Macaca mulatta: one gene and its partner. The protein of the gene in region 1 interacts with the protein of each later gene in a pairwise test. Links are inferred from orthologs where the notes say so. Each region holds a gene or a part of one and is shown on either strand. Other genes may lie near its edges. The genes, in order: CCNK and CDK18.

What was found.
Region 2: the proteins of CCNK (region 1) and CDK18 interact in binary tests that used the Homo sapiens proteins (3 or more experiments, as listed by UniProt). The two-hybrid records come from large-scale screens. The link is inferred for Macaca mulatta from reciprocal best matches to the Homo sapiens genes CCNK and CDK18.

What each region holds. Positions count from the first base shown.
Region 1 is NC_133412.1:172,832,506-172,836,322, reverse strand, and holds the end of CCNK (cyclin-K), read right to left. Parts: intron 1,963-3,817; coding exon 1,337-1,962; 3' UTR 607-1,336; downstream 1-606. UniProt on the Homo sapiens protein: Regulatory subunit of cyclin-dependent kinases that mediates activation of target kinases.
Region 2 is NC_133406.1:63,289,561-63,292,211, forward strand, and holds part of CDK18 (cyclin-dependent kinase 18), read left to right. Parts: intron 1-202; exon of another isoform or gene 203-521; coding exon 522-619; intron 620-848; coding exon 849-954; intron 955-1,047; coding exon 1,048-1,090; intron 1,091-1,778; coding exon 1,779-1,869; intron 1,870-2,119; coding exon 2,120-2,197; intron 2,198-2,651. UniProt on the Homo sapiens protein: May play a role in signal transduction cascades in terminally differentiated cells.

The DNA of each region.
Region 1 (3,817 bases):
TTTGAACTATTTTAGTAAAAGGAGTAATAAACAAGATTGTGATAGTGTCTACTTTGAGCTAGATAAATAAAGGCCTCTTTGTGAGCCTCCTGGCTGGGTGCTCAGTGCTTGTTTCCGTCATGGGTGGCAGGGTCAGCAAGCAGAGACAGGGCCAAGGCCCTTCAAGCACCTCAGATGGGGGCTCAGTCGGGGCCCCTTCCACAGACACAGCCCTGGCCCCTCAAGGTGGATGGCGAGGCCGCTGCTCCTCCAGCTGCCTCCGTCTCATCGCAGGCCAGAAGTGGAAAGGGTTTCAAACCCAAGCCTGTGTTCCCGTCTGTGTTCTATGCAGCAAGGCTTGAAAGTTTCAAGCTGGTTTGGAACTCAACCAGGTCCTCCAAAGGAAACCAAGGCAGGCACAGGATGGGTGCAGGCTGGCTTGGCAGGCCAATGTGCCGATCCACCCAGAGTGCCCTGGGAGGCAGTGGGGTTGGCTCTGGCTCCTGTGAACTGCAGCCAGGCCTCTCCCGGTGCCCAGGGTCCGGAAGGAGGGGCTTGTACAATGTTATCACCCGGGGACTGCGAAGGCCTGGAGCCCTACCTTCCACCCATTAACAGAGAAAGGGATAGTTTCAGAACTGCTTTTATTTGGATAACTGACTGAAGGAGTCTCATTTGTAACCAAGATGGAATTCACAGTATGTTGTTACATTCACACTTAAAAAATGTATCTCTATGTACAGGAATTTGCAAATAGATGTAAACATACATTACTTTCCAAGTACATTTCTCCCCTTCTCCTTGGAGGAAAAAAAGCCATCCAACGAGGCAACCCCTTCAAAATGATTTTAATACAAAGGATGCAAACATCTATAAATCAAAAATGTGGTTCTTCTGACCCTTCTGGGTGTCATGGGAGAGAACGTCATTGAATGAAAATGACAACAGCTTGACTTCAGATGGAATTTGACTATTTAAAATGAGTTTCCAGGAAAAGTAGGCACTGATTTCTAGAAGGAAATTAACTCCTTACCGAAGCTATTTATTGAGCCAATATGGCTGGTTAACATCTTCACTAGTATAAAGTAACCCAGTGCAGGACTCTCAGACATTAGCTGAACCAAGTGTACACAGTCAGACTGCAAGGGCGCTGATGAGGCTACTCTGAAAGCTGGCTGTCCCCGTCCTCTAGATGTGAGGACCACCCTGATTTTATCCCAGGGGCCTGGTCCATTCTTCCCATACTGCAACTGTCGCGCATTATATAAGGTACCCTGCTGCTTACCCACTTCAACTACTCTGCAAGTCGATTAGAAAAACTTGTTAAAAAAAACAAAGGGGGAAAAAAAGGCTCACGTTATCTCATCCAGGCTGCCCGCCCCAGTCCCCCAACTGGAGGCATGCCAGGTGGGGGAATGGGCGGGGGCACAGGGGGCTGTCCTCCAGGGGGCACGGCAGGAGGTGGGTAGCTGGCTGGAGGCAGGCCCAAGCCTGGAGGAGGATGAGGGGGGACTGCATGGGTAGGGGGCAGGCGTGGAGGTGGGGGTGGGAAGTTGGGGTTGTAGGTGGGTGGGGGTGGAGGGTAGCCAGGAGTAGGGGGCGGGATGGCAGGTGGGGGGAAGGAGGCTGGGGGAGGAGGCACAGGTGGTGGGGGCGGATTGGGTGGGTAGACATGGGGGTGGTAGGGCAGGTGTGCAGGTGGGCCGTATGCGGGGGGCAGGGCGCCGTAGGAGGGTCCCTCGGTCTTCATCATGGACTGCAGGCTCTGGTAGCCCTCTCCAGACATGTAGGAGCTGGTGGTGGACATCCCAGTCATGTAGCTGGAGGGCGGCGGGGGCGGGGGCCGGTGTGGCAGCGGCGGTGGCTGGTGCACAGGGGCCGGGTGAGCCGGAGGAGGAATCTGGACTTTGGGGAGGTCAGTGGCATCCACAGGGCCCGGCGGCTCAGCCTCACCTAAGGCAGCAGCGAGGGGAGGCTTCCGGTCTGCAGGAGAGAGATGTGTTGGTGCCCGGCCTCTGCAAGCAATAGCTGCTTTTTCAGTGCCTCCTGGCCCTTCAGGGCCATCTTTACAGAGGAGCAGGGAGCAGCTGCCCCTTCCTCTGTGGCCCAACACATGGGCCCGTTCCCCATGTCCTGATGCCACCAGATGTCTCCCCACCATTTGTCAAAAAGGCCCTCCACCCTGTCTGTGATGAGCTGGGGTTTCCCTCCCTCAGCCCTAACCACACCACCCGCAGGCAGTCTCGGCAGCACACGAAGCCCCCTTGTGCCCTGGCCCCAGCCCCCTCTTCCTAGTGTAAAATGTGTGGGGGCTCCTCTGTTTTTCTGCCTTCAGAAACTGACCCCAAGAGTCAGGGCCACACTGAACTCCTGTCTGCAGCAGTGGCATTTTGCAGAAAGCCTCAGAGTTGGTCAAATGAATGTGATGGCATTTAAAATAATTCCGTACAAGTCTCTGACATTCCCAATGTACCCATCGAAGCAGCAATTCAGGTTCTATTCTACTCAAGAGGGGTTAGATCAAACCCCACTGCGTACTCTCAGATAGCAGCCTCCTTGAGAGGAGTGTGTGCAAGCGTGCTGCGCGTGCGTGCTGCGTGCTACGTGCTGCGTGTGTGTGCATGCTTCGTGTGTGTGCGTGCTGCTGTGTGTGTGCGTGCTGCTGTGTGTGTGCGTGCTGCTGTGTGTGTGCGTGCTGCTGTGTGTGTGCGTGCTGCTGTGTGCGTGCGTGCTGCTGTGTGTGTGCGTGCTGCTGTGTGTATGCAGCAGGGATAGGCAGCACTAGGTGTCAAGCACACCCAAGATACTTGTGCTCAGAACCAGCCTCAGGCCCCTCCCGCAGCGCCTCCCAGCCCATGAGCCCTCATGCCCCCTTCCGCCAAAGCCTTATTTAACACATTTTGGCCTGTGATCTCTTGGTCACCATCAGACCCCTGGAAAATGGCGTCGGAACACCCCACCACAAGTAGCCAAACACACAGAATGAGTGTCCTTTCCCAAGGCAGCACAGGAGACAAACCATAGGCACAACATTTCTGGTTCCAGAGAACATAAAGAGGACAAAGGCCATGAAGATGCTTCTGGTTCCCCAGGCACTTGGGTTAGGGAAGGCAGAGCATGACATCCTGGTTGTGTAGACGTGGCCATTGGCACACAACCCGTTTGATCTTGCCAAAGCGAGCATGAGCAGGATTGATTGGGCTGGTAACAGGTGTGCCATTGGGGACTGCCTGTGCAGATCAGCCCTCGCCAGCCACTGGGCAGGAAGGCCATATATGCCTGGCCTTAGAGAACTGGCTTTGGCTCCAGGTCAGGGCCAGATGCCCTGTGGTTCCAGAAGCTGACTAAAAAAGAGGTGCAGAAAAGCGCTGACACCCTTCAATGCCTCCTGTGTGTCATTCCACAGCCACCTGGGCCACAGGCCTGCTCCTCTACCTTGCAGAAGCCAACTCTTCCAACACTCGACCCTGCAGCCTGAATCTTCAAGTCACCAGTGCACCCGCCCTTGTGCTGTGTGACTGAGCTCGAACAGCAAGTGGGGGTCTATCCTCGGCACCCCATTCCCTCTGTACACTTGCTCCTGACCAAGTGCCATACACTGCCACCAAACCCCTCCCTAAACATCACTGCTGACCTGAACACCTCTTCCCATGGTCTAGGGCCTCCCAGGAAGCGTGCTTCCCTCCGTTCCTCGTGGCCCAGCTTTACTGTGCCTCCCAGGCCCTGCTCTTTCCAGCCATGGCCTCCTGGCAGTGTATCTGGTTCCCAGGTCCCACTCAAGTCCCAGGCCTACTCCTGGCTGTCTGTAATGTGGGAGGGAGCAGAGCTCTGAGGCCTC
Region 2 (2,651 bases), on another chromosome or scaffold:
GAATCTTCCCCAAGCATCAGTCCCAGTGAAAATTTTGAAAGAGAAGTACTATTTTTATGTTAAAATGAACAAGCGTATGATTTGGTGTAAAATGAAAAATCAGCCCAAATTGCAAGCCGAACCGCCAGTGGTGATGAATGGCTGCTGTGACTCCGCCCCGAGGTTCCCCCGGAGAACGGATTTATGTACTTCTCTCTTCCAGTGGGGCACACAGTGGAGAGAGTTTGAGACAACACTGCTGAGAGAATTGCCACATGGGCGCTGGCTGCACAGACCCAAACCTCACAGAGCGAAAGGGGAGAGGTCGCAGCTTTCCCGAGCCCAGGGAAGCCCCCAGAGAGGGGCTGTAGTGGGGGCTGGGCAGTTCTAGGAGCCTCCACTGCCCTGGGCCACCCCTCCGCCGCCAGAGCCACGACCCCTGCAGCCAGCTGTGGCAGGTCGTCGTTGGTGCCCTGGTGGAGCAGCCCTAGGAAGGGCGGCCGCCCCTGCCTGATGCCGCCCCTGCCCCTTGCTCCCCGCAGGGGCGTGGGCTGCATCCACTACGAGATGGCCACAGGGAGGCCCCTCTTCCCGGGCTCCACAGTCAAGGAGGAGCTGCACCTCATCTTCCGCCTCCTCGGTCAGTCTCCCGCTGCTCCGCCCCTCTCACCACCAGGGGGCGCTGGAACTCCGTCCAGCCCAGGCGCCGAGCGGGACGGGGAGGAGCGGCTCGCCTAGTTCTCTCCCGGGCGGGGACCCCCCTGTGGCCTCGGCCATCTTTGCTCCCACCTGCTACGTTGCATTCCTTTCAAGTCGGCCTTGGCCCTGGGCCTCACTCAGGCCCTCCCCACCTTCTCTCGTCTCCCCAGGGACCCCCACAGAAGAGACGTGGCCGGGCGTGACCGCCTTCTCCGAGTTCCGCACCTACAGCTTCCCCCGCTACCTCCCGCAGCCGCTCATCAACCACGCGCCCAGGTAGCCCCGGCGCCCGCACCGCCCCTCCTGCTGTGGCCCTGGCTCTCCCACCCCCGCTCAGGCACAGCCTGTGTCCGCGCCTTCTCCTTGCAGGTTGGATACGGATGGCATCCACCTCCTAAGCAGCCTGCTCCCGGTGAGTGACCTCCCGGCGGGGCCCAGGGAGAGGCAGCCAAAGAGCCGAAGTCCCCGTGCCCCATGCTAGGCCTACGTCCCAACTTCTGTGGCTCGTGTGTTCACACGTCTTTGAAACATCCCTGTACTCTCCACCCCAAGGCCCAGGGGAGCGCTGGCCTCCATACACATCCTCTGGAGTCTCTGCACTGCGAGCCCAAACCGTTACTAGCTGTGTAGCTCTGGGCAAGTTACAGAGCTCCTCCATGTCTCCGTTTCCTCCACTGCAAAGTGGGATTAATTCCTATTTTATAAGCTGGCAGTGAGGATACATTGAGATGACAGGACACACTTAGTGTGGTGCCTGTCTTCTAAGGCACACGGTGAAGGGTCGTTATCGGCACAACGCTATGTTCTCCTTCTAATCATGGTTGGTTTGCATCTGTATTTCTATCTCAAGAGAAGGTCACTGTCCTCAAGTTTCATTTCTGGTTTTTTCTGGTGGCTGGAGACCAAGGAGCCTTCCCCTGAGTCTTGAGATGGCTTGAGGTTGGATTTGTGGTAGGGGCTGGAGGCTGACCTAGGGCTTCTCCTGTTAGTCTCAAGCCCCACCCACCTTGGTGCTCTAACCAGCACAAGAGTCCTGCTGCTCAGAGGGTTCCCTGCAGCCCCCCAGCCAGGGCCCAATAGCCCCACCCTGTGCCTTTCAGTATGAATCCAAGAGTCGCATGTCAGCAGAGGCTGCCCTGAGTCACCCCTACTTCCGATCTTTGGGAGAGCGTGTGCACCAGCTTGAAGACAGTGAGTGTTGTCCGGGCAGGGAGCAGGGCCACCCAGAACCAAGGAAAGGGGGTGGTGAGTGTGGGTAGAAGAACCAGAACAAAGAGGCCAGAAGCCCCAGGCCCAGCTGAGCAGCCCTCGGCACCTGGCCTCCCCTGCTGGGGTTCTCACTGCAAACTGAGGGGGCAAACAGTGGAAATGAGACGCTGCCTCCAGGGCTCAGTTGGTCCCGCTCCACCCAGCTCTCTCTCCACCATGTCCTCTCCCCCAGCTGCCTCCATCTTCTCCCTGAAAGAGATCCAGCTCCAGAAGGACCCAGGCTACCGAGGCTTGGCCTTCCAGCAGCCAGGTAGGGGCTTGTGCTCTCCTGGAGCCCTTCCCTTGTTAGTGGAAGCCAGGACAGGCTACCCCTCCCCAGTGGGGAATCCCATGGTCCCTCCGCCACTTTCTTCCCTTTGGAGTCTTCAGGGAGCAGAGAAGGGGTTGGTTTCTCCTGCCTAGGCTTCCTCGTCCAGCTCTTCCCTCTTCAACCCTCACCCCAGACAGGACATTGTGTTTGACAGTAGCCCTGGCAAAGAGGCATGCTGTCTCTGGTGCATTCTCTTTGCAAACTCTGAGCTCTCTAATCAGATTCCATCCTGGGAGAACGGTCCTTTGTTCCTACAACAGTCAATGGCCTTGGACATTGACAAATGCTTCCCATGCATCCTGTCCTTTAATCCTTAAAACACCCCTTGAAGTTGGTACTACTACTGTTCCCCATTTCATAGTCAATGAAACTGAGGCTCTGGGAGGTTAAATCA